Arabidopsis thaliana: one gene and its partner. The protein of the gene in region 1 interacts with the protein of each later gene in a pairwise test. Each region holds a gene or a part of one and is shown on either strand. Other genes may lie near its edges.

The links. The genes of interacting proteins can lie anywhere in the genome.
Region 2: the proteins of ANN6 (region 1) and GONST1 interact in a protein complementation assay, tested with the Arabidopsis thaliana proteins (one large-scale study listed by BioGRID).

Annotation. Positions count from the first base shown.
Region 1 is NC_003076.8:3,204,753-3,212,787, reverse strand, and holds ANN6 (annexin 6), read left to right. Parts: upstream 1-3,957; 5' UTR 3,958-4,003; coding exon 4,004-4,079; intron 4,080-4,761; coding exon 4,762-4,907; intron 4,908-4,982; coding exon 4,983-5,201; intron 5,202-5,292; coding exon 5,293-5,808; 3' UTR 5,809-5,920; downstream 5,921-8,035. Other genes in the region: ANNAT7 (annexin 7), read left to right, coding at 1,392-1,467, 1,867-2,012, 2,110-2,328, 2,541-3,050; AT5G10210 (nitric oxide synthase-interacting protein), read right to left, coding at 5,959-6,552.
Region 2 is NC_003071.7:5,687,107-5,695,141, reverse strand, and holds GONST1 (golgi nucleotide sugar transporter 1), read left to right. Parts: upstream 1-4,370; 5' UTR 4,371-4,611; intron 4,612-4,824; 5' UTR 4,825-4,838; coding exon 4,839-5,188; exon of another isoform or gene 5,189-5,432; coding exon of another isoform or gene 5,433-5,515; coding exon 5,516-5,645; intron 5,646-6,152; coding exon 6,153-6,251; intron 6,252-6,799; coding exon 6,800-6,954; intron 6,955-7,036; coding exon 7,037-7,153; coding exon of another isoform or gene 7,154-7,157; exon of another isoform or gene 7,158-7,306; coding exon 7,307-7,404; intron 7,405-7,505; coding exon 7,506-7,558; 3' UTR 7,559-7,826; downstream 7,827-8,035. Other genes in the region: CALS5 (callose synthase 5), read right to left, coding at 1-18; AT2G13660 (uncharacterized protein), read left to right, coding at 2,253-2,460, 2,525-2,850; AT2G13640 (Transcription factor IIS family protein), read left to right, coding at 7,852-8,035. UniProt on the Arabidopsis thaliana protein: Involved in the import of GDP-mannose from the cytoplasm into the Golgi lumen. Required for the luminal synthesis of a variety of plant cell surface components. Is required for the correct mannosylation of the glycosylinositol phosphoceramides (GIPC).

The DNA of each region.
Region 1 (8,035 bases):
TCCTGGTGAATTTCTGTGTTTAGTGTTATTAGACAATCCATGAAAGCTTGATACTTCAGATTATGAACGTTATTTTTCATGAATCCGATTCTTTCTTTCTTTTTCTATCTCAAAAGCTATTTTCTTTGTTCTGTCAAAAAGTGTGATTATCATCAGTCTATATTTTGATTCACTTTGGTTTTCTATAGTAATTCAAACTTCAAAGTACACTGTAATTGGAATTGAAACGATACAGAGAAGAAGGTTTAGGTTGGTTCATGCAAATTAAACGGATCTTTATAGAAGAAAACTGGCGTTGGCTATTGTGGGAATAGTACCTTTCTATTAAAGTTATATTGTTTAAGTGTTCTACTATCATCACAAGGACTCTGTGGCCCAATGGATAAGGCGCTGGTCTACGAAACCAGAGATTCTGGGTTCGATCCCCAGCAGAGTCGTTGTTCTTTTATTTAATCTTCCTTTTAATTTTTTTCGCGCCAGATCTGTTTTTACGGTCTAATGAAAATTTGAAATTCATTACAATTCTTATAACTTTCTTGTGGGTTGTTTATCCATAACATATTTTATAACATATAAACTACACCAATTAGATATTTGACGTTACGATTCTTTTAATTAGTCGATAATCAGTATTTGGTTGCCAATAAAATAACTGCTCCTTAAACGTTAAGCTTAGCACTAACCACGTGATTCTTGGAGTTAAACAAGAACAAATGACATAAGCAATGAAAATCTTGTTTTGTCTCCGGAAAATTCCTATAATTATAAACTTGTCACATGGACCTTTAAAGGTCTATTTAATATATAGCTTAAAATAATTAATTATTGAGTAATCAAATTTTTAAAAAAATCTAATCAAAGTTTTTTTCCAAAAAAAAAATTAAAACAACAATATTATGTTAATAAATATAAATCATAGATATCCACTAAACATAATTATAAAAGTAAAAAAAAAAAAAGTTGTGTATACTCTTCATATGTCAAGGCCAAACTCAAACGTGTCATTCACAATCAAAATCATAAGTTTCTGTCCCACTCTATATATATAAATACTTCCCTTGAAATTTATTCAACTTAATTAAATTCATTTTCTGCCAGCTATCTTGATTTCTTTCCTTTTAACTAAAATAGATAGGCTTTTAATACTTCACTTATATAGTCAACAAATTTACTATTCAATAATATTTTCAGTTGATTTACTACCTTTTCCATTCATTTAATTCATTAAAAATTACTAAGTCTCTTTATCAAAATACATCTTTATACAAAAACTTTTTTATTGAAACTTTAATTGCCATCTCATTATTTAAGTAAGACAACACGAGCTCTATCTACCTCATCATCTAGACAACAAAAAACAAGAACATACAGAAATTTCACTTGTTCGAAAAATGGCTTCTCTCAAAGTTCCCGCCACTGTTCCTCTTCCCGAAGAAGACGCTGAGCAACTCTACAAAGCCTTTAAAGGTTTATGTCCTTCTCTATACCCCTTCATTAATCTTTTGGTTATAACTAGTCTAGCATTCGCCTTCTTCGATTGAATCCTCTATCAGTTTGGTTGGTCATAGCGTAATCTATTTCAACTATACCCTCTTATCTGATCGATCATGTGTCTGTATATATTCGTTGATCTATATAGTATATAGATCTAGTTTGGTTTATGGTATGGATTTATTTAATTTGGTTAAAATTACTCCTATCATCAAAAATAATCTATTAGTATTTAATAGACCTTTCAAAAATTGATGAAACGAGATAAATTTTACTAGAATTATATATCTTTTTCAATCTAATACTGATGAATGATTTCAAACATGATTCTGACTCTATTTTTCTTTAATGTAATTGTGAATTTGTCTAATGCAGGATGGGGAACCAATGAGAGGATGATCATATCAATCTTGGCTCACAGAAATGCAACGCAACGTAGTTTCATTCGTGCCGTTTATGCTGCTAACTACAATAAGGATCTTCTCAAGGAATTAGACAGAGAGCTTTCCGGTGACTTTGAGGTTTTAATTTGAGACAACATCTTTATATATTCGTCTTCTTTTGGTTTTAGTCTACTGATCTGTTTAACTATGTTTTCTTTTTTTGTAAACAAAACAGCGAGCTGTGATGTTGTGGACTTTTGAACCAGCGGAGAGAGATGCTTATTTGGCAAAAGAATCTACCAAAATGTTCACCAAAAACAATTGGGTTCTTGTCGAAATCGCTTGTACTAGATCTGCTCTTGAACTCTTTAATGCCAAGCAAGCATACCAAGCCCGCTACAAGACCTCCCTCGAGGAAGACGTCGCATACCACACATCTGGAGACATTCGAAAGGTATTATATAATTAATTATGTGAAAGTTTCATGAGCTTAATTCCATCTGAGATATCCAATAAAATCAAATGTATCTAGTTCATCTATTTTGTATACTAGATGAAATCTCATATGTTTATTGATGTAATTAAGATTCCTAGCTAACAAACTCAGTTCGTATAACTATGTCAAGAATGCATATAAATTTGTGACATATGTTTTTGTTTATGCAGCTCTTGGTACCTCTTGTGAGCACTTTTAGGTACGATGGAGATGAAGTGAACATGACGTTAGCTAGGTCCGAGGCTAAGATACTTCACGAGAAGATCAAGGAAAAGGCTTATGCTGATGATGATCTCATAAGAATCTTGACAACCAGGAGCAAAGCACAAATCAGCGCAACTCTCAATCACTACAAAAACAATTTCGGAACTTCCATGAGCAAATACCTAAAGGAGGATTCGGAAAACGAATACATTCAATTGCTCAAAGCCGTGATCAAATGCTTGACATATCCAGAGAAGTATTTTGAGAAAGTTCTACGTCAAGCCATCAACAAATTGGGAACAGATGAGTGGGGACTAACGAGAGTGGTCACTACACGAGCAGAGTTTGACATGGAACGGATCAAAGAGGAATATATACGTAGAAACAGTGTTCCTCTTGATCGAGCCATTGCTAAAGACACTCATGGTGACTATGAGGATATACTTCTCGCTCTTCTCGGACATGACCATGCTTGAAATAACATTTGCAAGTTTTGTTTAAGAAAAAAAACTAAATTTTATCGCTTTGTGTTTAATAAAACAGTTGTGGTTGGACTTGCAACTTGGTCATGTTAAGAATTTAGTGTCTTCAGTTTCATTTGTCGTCGATGTTTTCAGTTATTTTTTTTTTTAAATCTAAAAATTATAAAACCATATCAAAAATTATTATTGATCTATTTATAATTAATTTAGTATAAACTAATGAGTTATAATTTTCCCCTTAATTATATGGTTTTAAAATTAAAGCTAAACCCATACTTAATACATCTTGTTAAAATGAACAATATTGGTTCTAATGTTTTGTCCGCCATGTGTTATAATCCATGTCCAAATAATGAAATATCCAAATAATGAAATTAATTAAGGAATATGCGTGTATTATATAACAGAAAAAATAAATAAATTAAAAGTTAAATTTCGGTACCTATGTAATCCCATATTTAAGCTGTTTAAAGTGCATTTAAAATCCAGCTTTATGACAAAAACCCAAAACATGATTCTTGTTTTTTCATTTCTGTTCACTGTATACAGCCTGTAATTGTATTAATAAAATCTCTCATTTTACTAATTTACTTAAATTGTTAAGTCTATTTTAAAACAAAATTGATTAATAATTAACAAAATTTGAGATTTCAGTTCATTATTTAAGAAAATGTGCAATTTCCATTTAATATTCAGCTTTATGACAAAAAAATGCAAAACATTATACTTGTTTTATCAATTCTATCCACTGTAGACAGCCTGTATTAATAATTTTTTCCTCTTTTACTGATTTACATAGATTGCTAAATCTAATTTTTAACAAAAATAATTAATAAAATATAAAAAATTGGGATATCATTTCATTATTTAAGACAGTGTGCATGTTCCTCGTCCCACATTTTCTTCGTCTCATCTAGAGAGCTAGAGAAATATTCAGTGGTCGGAGAATGGCGTCTCTCAAAATTCCAGCAAATATTCCTCTTCCCGAAGAAGACTCCGAGCAGCTCCACAAGGCATTCAAAGGTTTTCATGATCCATCCCTTCATTGTTAGATTGATTTAGTAAAAGTTAAATACTAGGCCTTCACATTCATGCTTTGATTGAATCATTTGCATTTTGATATTATTTAATTGGGTTGATTATCAATAGTTCAATCTATTATCATGACAGGTCTGATCTACTGATCTAGCTTGCTGGTTTGGTTGATGACACGTATATAGGTTTAATTTTAAGAAGTGGATGATAAGTTAGCTCTTTTTTATTTCGTTTTTCAAATGATTCTTAGGAAGTCTTAACTTCGTGAAGTTTTGTGGTTATACTCCATTGCATGATTCTTTTGTTACGGTGCAAAATTGTGTGACATATTATTTACTCTTTTGCTGATTTTGGATGCAATTGATTTTATGTTGGAGCGTTTCCTGACCGTTTGGTTTGTAATCGACGATTAGACAACTCTTTTAAACAGATTAACTTGTTGCTTTCGTAACAATTTTTTTATTCAGATTTAAACCCAAAAAAAAAATTCTAATAATCTTCTAAGATTTTTTCAAGCTTGGTTTTTTTTCTACTAGCGAACATCAGCTTTCTTGTATATTTACAGTTAATTTCTAACTGTCGTAAAATTTTGGTTTGGTTTAGTTAGGTTTTGTTACATACTCTCTATCTGACTAAACTTGGGTTTGAAATTTGTTTTTGTGTGGCGCAGGATGGGGAACTAATGAAGGGATGATCATATCAATTTTGGCTCATAGAAACGCAACGCAACGCAGTTTCATTCGTGCCGTTTATGCTGCTAACTACAATAAGGATCTTCTCAAGGAATTAGACGGAGAGCTTTCTGGTGACTTTGAGGTTTGTCAAAACTAAAAGATACAAAATCTATATTTCTTCATCTTATTTTGAACATCTTACTTTGCTTGAAAACAGAGAGTTGTGATGTTGTGGACTCTTGATCCAACGGAGAGAGATGCGTATTTGGCCAATGAATCTACCAAATTGTTCACCAAAAACATTTGGGTCCTAGTTGAAATCGCTTGTACTAGACCTTCTCTTGAGTTTTTCAAGACCAAGCAAGCATACCATGTTCGCTACAAGACCTCTCTCGAGGAAGATGTTGCATACCATACATCTGGAAATATCCGAAAGGTAGTGAAAGATTTATGTATATCATTCTTTAAACCAATTAGTAAGTTTCTGATGATATGTTGTTTTGTTTTGACCACTTGTAAAAATGCAGCTATTGGTTCCTCTTGTGAGCACCTTCAGGTACGATGGAAATGCTGATGAGGTCAACGTGAAGCTGGCTAGATCCGAAGCTAAGACACTTCACAAGAAGATCACTGAGAAGGCTTACACTGATGAAGATCTCATCAGAATCTTGACAACAAGGAGCAAAGCACAGATCAATGCAACACTCAATCACTTCAAGGACAAGTTTGGAAGTTCCATTAACAAGTTTCTCAAAGAAGATTCGAACGATGATTATGTTCAATTACTCAAAACCGCGATCAAATGCTTGACATATCCAGAGAAGTACTTTGAGAAGGTTCTACGTCGAGCCATCAACAGGATGGGAACAGACGAGTGGGCACTTACTAGAGTGGTCACTACAAGAGCAGAGGTCGACCTGGAGCGGATCAAAGAAGAATACTTACGCAGGAACAGTGTTCCTCTTGATCGAGCCATTGCTAATGACACTTCTGGTGACTACAAGGATATGCTTCTCGCCCTTCTTGGACATGACCATGCTTGAAACAACATCATCGTTTCATAGTCTTTTATAAGACAGTTGTTATTTGTTTTTCATTTTCTTTGAACTTTGGTCCTTAGTTTTTACATTTTACTGCAACAACTTATTCTGGTTTCTTTGAATCATCTCTTCTTTAAATTTTATTCTTACAAACTAAATCCCAGCTAACGCACAAGCTACAACAAAAGCTTCATAATCTACGCAGTTACATGTTCTACAATCTTTACACTCACAAAGATCTTCCACTCTCTTAGTGTTCACGATTTTTGAAGCTTGCACTTTTAAAGCTATCTTCAACAAAAGAGGTTTATGCTTATCACAATCTTCCAGAACGTGATCTTTTGTCTCATCCATCACTACAAATCTCTCTATTTCCATCCCATCAGTCTCTATAACCGATTTCCAAAAAATCTTTCCTCTACCCACCAACTCTGATTTCGACCACTTCTTCAAAAACGGCGTCGTTTTCCTTCTCCGTAGTTCGAAAACAACACTTTGTTGCTTCAATTCCTCGACCGCGGTTTCGTTCCCTTGGCACTCCAGACCGAATGATTGGTTCCAGGAAATGACCTCACAGTCTGATCTCGAACGGATCTCTGGAGTGTTTAGTTCAATCTTACTGTTATTCCCTGCATGGAGATAGAACCTAACGAAGAGAGTGGTTGGCGATGACTTGAGCTCTACGTTTCTAGCTTCCACGATTTTCACTTCAAATTTAAGGGAACGAATGTTTTCAACGATACCCATTTGCTTGAAAATTTCGAATCGAACCAAGAATATATTATTTACCAAGGTAATAACAATTAGAGCAAATTTAAGAGCAGTGAGTTCCTTTGTGATGAATATGTGCATGAACAAATTCTCACTAGCTATTTATATAAATCTATGGGGAATGTTCGAGGAAAGTTTACACTAGATTTCCACATTGTACTTATTAAAATATTCTAAATTTCTAATCATGTTTTTAACTTTTTATTTTTTTCTAATCATGTTAGTGAAGGCTTAATATTTTAGAAATTAAAACTCTTGAGCATCTCAAAAGACCAAGGGTCGATTTTAATAATGACTCTTGCCCATAGTTTTGGGAGATAATTAGATAGATACGTAGGATCACCATATAAAGAATTTTTATAATTTGCAAAAAGAAATTAAGGTGTGCCATTTTGAAGACTTGATCATTATTATATTACATTTCGCGTGGACACATCCAATAGCCGAAAGTTGTTTTGGAACAGAGTCAACAGAATCAAATTAAATAAGAACAAATTATTAGTAGATACATTCGATTGCATATATTAAAATGAGTATGGAATTTGACTCAAAAGATATAATTACAAAAAATATTAGCCACGAATCCCATGATCAATTGTAGTCATACAAGATAGACTTTATTACATAAGAAAATCTCCAAAAAAACTCTTATCACACAATTCATTGTTGACAAAAGTTTTGTATACTAATAATATCATCTATTAAATTTTACAAAAACAATTTTAGTTTCAACTGGTTTTAAATTATAGAAAGAACAAATCATTGCTAATAAGCATAGTCATAAACTCATAATCATGCAGAAATTGTGTTTATTTTGATCATCTCAAGGGTAATGGAAATGTCAATTTAGGTTACTTTCGTTACTATTTACTTTTTTATCAAACACTTTCGTTACTATTTAAAAAAATCTAAATCCTAATACTAACTTACAAAACCCAAATCATTATTTTCTATTACAAAATTTAAAAAATACTTGGAATTTGAAAGAAAAAAACGTTTTTACAATACTTACTTGTAGTGGGTTGCTCATAGTTAACCGAGTGAGTGTTTTCTTACATAATATGAAAGGACAGCATTGTTTTAGTTCATATCATCCGTTGGAGTTATCCAAAGGACAGCATTTTTAAACTTAGTGTACCAATTTAGAAAACGTCACTGCAATTTGCAAAAAGACATCAAAACTAAGAAGATCATCTCAAGAGCCTGACGTAAAAAAAAGGTAAATAGTGGCTTGGTACATATCCTCTTTCCTCCAATCAAATTTCACTCTTGTGTCAATATCGACTATGCATATGATCCTCGGTGGACTAAATGCAGATCTTCCATTTTTCAAAACTTTTACTTTACAATATCGCAATCCAATAAGCTAAGACCCACAAAAATTCTCTATCTTTGTACAAATTTTTTATTACTGTATTAGCTAACGTGCGAATATCCATTTAAAATGTTTTTTAATCTA
Region 2 (8,035 bases), on another chromosome or scaffold:
TGTACTACTCTGTGCCATCTCTCCCTGTTACAAAACATTGAATCACAATGTTACCAATCTTCTCAATAAACAACAAAACACAAAACAAAATCGAAGGATTATATGCACCAAAAACAGCTAATTTTTGTCAAGCGATTAAGATGCTACTTTTGAATTTAGGTATATAACAGATTGATTAGAACAACACTAGGTTACAAGCTCTTGCGATTCCGCAACAAACAAACATGAACAATCAAAATGGAGCTCGAGCGAAGCAATCGAACAGAGATTTCACGGAAACTCAATCGAAATCGTACGGAACAACAAAAGGACCTCGAAATCAGTGCAGACGATAAACATGGACAAAAATCAAAATCAGGAGCTCGAGCGATGGAGAAGAAATCGAAAACGAAACGAAAACAAACATCGATTCATTGTTTCTCGTCACATTTTTCAAAACAAAATCTCACGGAAGCTGAATCGATTCAATATACAGTATCGAACGTAAAAATTCTACGAAAGGAAGAACTCACGTTAGATGCGAAGAGCTTTCAGATCCCCTTCCCTGAAGATTAGAAGAAAACGAAACCAAAAGTGAGTGTAATTTCGAGACGATTTACAAAAACGGAGAAGTAGCGACGAAGATTCACCTGAAGCAGAGACGAGGTGACTCAGTTAGGCGTCGGGCATGAACAGATACAGAGGAAAAAAAAATGGCGACGAGAGGAAGAAGAAGAAGAAGAAGAAGGGAGAGAGAGAGAGATCAAAAATGGAGGAGAAAATGTTGCTTTACGGTTTTAAGAGGGAAATGAGAGAATATTTTCAGTTAGAGAGAGATGCCACGTGGCGAAAGAAGAGAGGTTAATAAAATAGCGATTGTGTGACTGGGAGGTGTGTGTCTCTCACAAATGGAGGTCCGTGTCTTTCTCCTTTATTTTCTGTTATATTCCAAGTTTTTCTGTGACATATTTAATGTAACTATGAACGGATTAACGAATTATTGTTGTTTTTATTGTTTTGGTCCATTTCTCAATTTGGTTTCTTTTACCAATAGTACAATGTTAAATGAATTTGTTTGATTTATATGGTATCATAACATGCATGCATGGCCTAGTTTTTAGTATGTATGAATCTTTGTAGACATTGCTTTATATGGTATGATACCATTGGTATCATATCATTGCATACTCGATTTTGTATATGCATGGATTAGCAAGTAGACATTGTTTGAAGAATGAACAACAATTAAGGAAATTCTCAAAATGCGTGACATCCAATCTAGAAGAACTATGTGTATTAAAAGTTTCTGAAATTAAATTCTAAACTGACTCATCTTTGATTGTGTTTATTCTTTCTAACGAAAACCATTATCCATTCGAACATTTTTTTTAACATCTTATTCATTCATTGATTTGAAAATTTATACAAGTTTATATATGTGACGAACAGACGAACAAAAAAAAAACTTTGATTTAGATGCTTAACACGTAGAGTTATGCATAAATTCCTATGTTTAAATCCCATGTACCAGAATTATAGCCTACTATCATTGTTTAATCCCATGGAAAAGCACACTCTGTTTTAGATTCAAAAATCACATGTACCAGAATCATAGCCTACTATCATTGTTGATCTGTTATTGCTTGAATCAATTAGTAAAATTTCATGTTAAGCACATTTTTTTTTTTCTGAGAACTTCATTGAAAAAGTCCACCATTGGACTATAAAAAAAAAAAAAAAAAAAAACATAAGCTCTCTTAACATAATTTGAATAAAATTGTATTAAAAAAATAGAGAGAGCCCATAGGGAGGCTCTCTCTATTGGAGATGGTCTTACATGGACAAAATATGGTGCATATGTAAGCTTTGGTTGTAATATATTTATCATGAAATATTTTAAGTTGAAGGGAACTCCATTTGTTTCTTTTCTTTTAAGATTTATTTTGATCAAAGGAAAAAATATATTACTGGATTCGAATGGTGAAATCAAGTTGCCAGACTTTTTTTGAAGTTGGCAGACTTTGTGATGGCCAAACTTGTAAGTGTAAAATAAGGAGACCAAAAGAGAGATGTGGAGGGTAATACTATTTCTAAGCTTATAAAGTGAGAAGTAAAAATAGTAAGTGGTGTTTTTTTTTCTTTTTTTCTTTTTTGTCGGCCTAATATGTTTTATAAAAGCCCAAATGGGCAGATATTCGGTACAGAAGATGGCCAAAAGTTAGCCCACTAATTGCAAAACACAAGATAAGAAAAATAAAAAAGAGATACGTGTTATGCAATGTGGGATGTTGAGAGAAGAAAAAGGTTTCGCCGTCACCGACTCATCATCACCGGAAACTTCCTTCATCAGCTGTCACCGACTCATCATCACCGGAAACTTCCTTCACCAGCCGGCAGATCAACTCAGTCCTCCAAGAAACCTCTATCTCTGCCTTCGATTGTACCTACTCGCCTTTTGCCATAGATCACCAGAAGAGATTGGTTGGACCTAAACTTGATCACGAGAATTTGTAACCTCAGCCGATTAGCCCGAAATATTCATCAGAACAAGACGAAGACTCCAATTCTTCATACTCCGTCCCAATCAACCGCATCAACTTGATCAATCCACCAAGGAGAACCGATGCTCTAAACAAGCCCTTTTGGCGGAGCAAGGAATTACCTTCACTTGGGAGAAGAATCAAGCACTCAATGAACAAGGATCCATTTGATGACTTCTGGAATTTTCATCTTCCCGAAATTGGAAGAGTTAATTTGAGCCTGCAAAAGGCAACCAAAAGAGAAAGAAAGAAAGTAAATCCGAACAAGTCGGAAAGAGAAACCGGCATCAAAACAGGAAATCTAAAACACAAACCAAAAAGCTCTGATTGAAGACGGAGATTACAAAAGAAAAACAGAGCTCCCTCTCTGTAAAAGATATGAAAGAGAGAAGAGATAGAAAACTCTTTTCATTAAATGTTATAATACGAAAATGATATTCAACTATTTGTTCTCAAGAACAAGATGAGTGTCGTTAACATTAGAGTGTGAATATATTTTTGTTATAAAAATTGTCATGCGTTACGGAAAAAACAAAATGGTCATGCGTTTGGCTACACTGGTTCTTTTGGGCCTAAAGGATTTTATTTTACGTGCTCGAGTAACTTGGGCTATGGCTAGTGGATTTAGAAGTGGACTGTGTCAAAGAGTCAAAATAGATAGGCTAAAATTTCTGGTGGAAAGAATTAAGCCGAAAGGTCAACGGTATGGTACAAAGCAAAAAGGCAAATGGACCATTATTGCCAAACTTTTATTTTTATTCATTCAGATTTTGTGTCAAATTGCCAAGTTTAGAGACACATAACAGTAGTACACTTTTGCACTGACTATCAATTTAAATACGAATTCTCACTGATTAAACTAATTAAGACGCATCATTATAAATTTCTTAAATCATAAACACTAGAATCCAAAATCGATTTTCATTTTTCCCTCTTTTCTTTTTTGAATTCTTTCCTTTTTTTGATTCCTTCTTCTTCTTTAAATTCAAAATAATCTCTTATCTCTATGTCGATTGATGGTGCGAAAGAGAAAAAATTGTGCCTCAATTTGCTTAATTAACGAAAATTCGTGATTAAATTGAAAATCAACATAAAAATTGAGAATTTAAATTACCAGATACAGAACTCATAGTTTAAATCAACAAAAATAGTAAACTACTGATTTAAATGACATTTTTCCAAAAAAGCAAATTGTACAACATATTGTGTGATTTGGACCATATGGTACCAAACCATTATAACTAAATTAGATAATTTATGTTTATATTATTATTTCTTCTCAATATATAAGAGATTTATATAATAACCAATAACTATAAAATGATGAAAATTAACAAAATAACATCATAAGCTCAATACCTTAGGAGAGAACATATTTAACGTGTAACTGTCAAAGTTACTCCAAACAAAGTTTGTGTTCTTTTTTTATAAATAACAATGTTTGTGTTGAATGACCTCAATGAAGAGATTTGTTTGATAGTATTAAATAGCTAATATTTTCTTAAATTTTAGTATAGTTATGACATATTTGTATATGGCCTATTTGTATATGATCAGTATTATTCTGTTTTATTGTCTTAAAAATGATCAATATTATTCTGTATTTATAGATAAAAGGCTATTTTTCGCTTTGGAATAATTTTTAATTTCAAGAAATACATACTAGTTTTATTTATTCATTTAGACATGTTTGACATGAGTAGTTGATGAGTTTGTCAATTTTGAAATACCCACTGAGAAAATTTATTTTGTTTTACATAATGGAACTTCCTCTAACTTACGAAACTCTTAATTTTAATATAAATAAACAAACGAAAGAAACGAAAATTGGTCAGTTTTTTTTTTTTTTTTCTCTTCTGGTCAATGCCATCTCTCTCCCTCGTCTTTTCAGTTTCCTAATTTCCATTGTTTCTTCAAAACAACATTTCACAGATAGCTCCACCACGACCTGACGAAGATCCTCCGCGTGAGCAAGTTTCATGTTCTTCTTCTTCTTCCGATTCATAGTTTTTTTTTTTTCCGGTAACTTGTCATCAATTAGATCTCGTCCGAAGTTGAATCTTTAGTTCGCGAGCTTTTGGACAACTTCGAGGTAAAATTCGTTATTCTCTACACAACTTCCGATTAACGCTTGTGTAGCTACTCTCAACTTTGCTGCTTGATCCAATCTCGTCTTAAGTTGATTTTAGCTGCGAATTGGAACCGAATTGGTTTTTATGTAAAACTGTTACTTTTTTTGTGCGTGTATTGTTAAGAATGATGGATCTAGTTATATAAGCTTGAAAGAAGTTAGTTTCTTTGGTAGGTCTTAGCTTTGCAATGAAATTGTACGAACACGATGGAGTTGATTTAGAAGATGGGAAGACAGTAAAATCCGGAGGAGATAAACCAATTCCAAGAAAGATACATAACCGGGCTTTGTTATCCGGTTTAGCTTATTGCATTTCATCATGCAGTATGATACTTGTCAACAAGTTTGTTCTCTCCAGCTACAACTTCAATGCTGGGATCTTCCTTATGTTATACCAGAACTTTGTCTCGGTGATCATTGTGGTTGGTTTGAGTTTAATGGGTCTAATAACTACTGAACCACTTACTTTGAGGTTGATGAAGGTCTGGTTTCCAGTGAATGTCATCTTTGTTGGTATGCTTATCACAAGCATGTTTAGGTAAGAATGTGTTTCTACACCTTTATTTTGTGTTGGTTTGTTGAATTATATATCGATGCTCTCTTAATTCTCAAGCCTATAAGATTACTAAATTAGTAAAGTCAACTTTTTGGAGTACTAAAGGTAGTTATAAGAATCTGTACATCATCTTTACAGCAGATCGAGGATTAAATAACGTGTAGACACTTAGGTGAAACAGATAGATATTTTGGATTTACTTCACAGTAGGTCGAGATATATAGATATGTATCGTATATGTGTATGTAGGCGGTGTTTGAAGAGCAGATTGAACTTGATTGTCTATTTGAATTACATTTTCTTTGACAGTTTGAAATACATCAATGTAGCAATGGTCACTGTCCTGAAGAATGTCACTAATGTGATAACTGCAGTTGGTGAGATGTATCTGTTCAACAAGCAACATGACAACAGAGTGTGGGCTGCTCTCTTCTTAATGGTATGTTTGTCTGCTTTAAAAGTATTTCTAACTGATTCTGTAAATTGTACCTGAGAAAAAACTATTCTCAAGGAACCTATTTCAAGCTGCACATAGATAGCATTTTGATTGGAGTTTTTGAAAGATATCCTTGTCAAACAACGATTCTATACTGTTTTGGATTTGGTTTTCTCTTGTTTTCTCAAAGCACTCTCTGATCATCAACCTTAACCAATAAAGTCTAAAGCATATCTTCTTATTGATAAGTGATCCACCCTTTTGTGTGCGTACACAGTTACACTTGTCGTAGCGGCTTTCAGTGGTGTGGCATAGCCTAACCTTTCAATACTGTTGGAGATACATGTTTTTAACTGCTTCCACAATTAGTCTGCCAGGGAAATGTAATCATGTTTTTTTGTCACGGCTACTCATTGTTATATGTATATTCTATTTGTTTTTGTATAGATCTTGAATAAGTAGAGGATAAAGTTTTGATTAACCTGTGCTTCTTTCGTCCTTCATTTGCAGATAATTTCCGCAGTTTCTGGAGGAATAACAGACCTATCATTCAATGCTGTTGGCTATGCTTGGCAGATTGCTAATTGCTTCTTAACTGCATCGTACTCGGTGAGTAAACATTTGATCATTTGTGTTTTCTTTTCCCAAAATGTTAGGAGTCATTTGAAACAATAAACACATATATGAAAAGGAGATCACTTAAAAACCATGCTTTCATGTCGAGTATTACATGCTGTTTGGTTAAGACTAAGTCAATAAACTAAACAGCCTTCCCTATAATCATTACGATACTGGCTTGCTTTTGAGTTTTAAGATGCTCACGAGATACCGAGATTCTGTTACCTTAGAAAATTTTATAGCTTGCAATCCATTGTCACTGGTAACCTGAGTACTTCACTCGTTGTTAGAAGTAGGAATAGCATGTTAAAGAGAAGACTTTGGGCAAAGAATGCAAATTGACACCATCAACTTCTCAGTTCTCACTAGGTTTTCCATTGCTGGGTCAAAAAACGAGAGTGTTAGACTGTTAGGTTCCCATAAATTTATCCCTATATCCTGTCAACAAAAACCAAGTGTTTGGCTTGTTAGCTAGGCTACTATACTCTTATAAAATTTGCCACCACTTTTGACTTGCCTTATATTTTGTTGTTTTGCAGCTGACTTTGAGAAAGACCATGGATACGGCCAAGCAGGTTACTCAATCTGGAAACTTGAACGAGTTCTCCATGGTCTTGCTTAATAACACACTTTCATTACCACTTGGGCTTCTTCTTTCTTATTTCTTCAACGAGATGGATTATCTCTATCAAACGTGAGTTCCTGTCCTTATTTCTGTGTCAATGGAAAATGGTTTGTGTCATCTGAAAACAAAATGGTGTATTATATTTGTGCAGGCCACTTCTACGATTACCAAGTTTCTGGATGGTCATGACACTTAGTGGACTTCTAGGGCTTGCCATTAGCTTTACTTCAATGTGGTTTCTTCATCAAACTGGAGCAACAACATACAGGTAGCAAATTAGAGAGAGATAGAGCAATTTCAAAACTTTGCTTAAGAGAGTGTTGCTGTCCCCTAGCCTTCTCCATATATCCCTTTCCTATGTTTGCTTCTTTGTTGGTTCAGTCCTAACTAGATACATCTTTCGCTTTATTCAAAATCATAGCCTGGTGGGATCTCTAAACAAGATACCTCTATCCATCGCGGGGATCGTTCTTTTCAATGTACCGACCAGTTTGCAGAACTCAGCAAGCATACTCTTTGGTAAGCGTTCTCTCGATCAGTTCCCTTTTCCAACTTCTTGAAGGAACACATATCGCTTGTGTTGTGTATTATTATTAAACCTGAGGTGGCCTAATTTGCAGGTCTTGTCGCTGGAGTTGTATTTGCTAGAGCCAAAATGAGGGAGAAGTCCTAAAATACTAACCATCTACAACACATTTTACTACATCAATCAGTATAGGACATGGCAAAAGCTGATTAAAGCAGAGCAATGAGTTTATAACCTCAGAATTCTATGCACGTTATGTGTTTCTTGTAAAAGCTTTCGCCACTCTACTTGTATAATGTTAGTAAAATATTAATGAATGTATCGATTCTTGAGTGGTAAGAGAAGTGTTGGTTTATGTGTTTCTTCGTTTTTACCAATTTTCCAGTAAAGAAATTCAATGGTATGAGATTTCAACATAAACTGAAAACCCTAGCCACCTGATGATCAAGAACGACGGAAAGATGATGAGAGTGAGAATTGCGAAGGAGAGATCTGACTTATGCGACTTGACTGCTGCTGCAATTAAGGCTACTTACAATACACGGAACCCATGCGAAGTCGAGCGATGCATCGATGTGTTGAATCACTTGAAGTCTCTGTCTCTTTCCGTGAAGGATATACGAT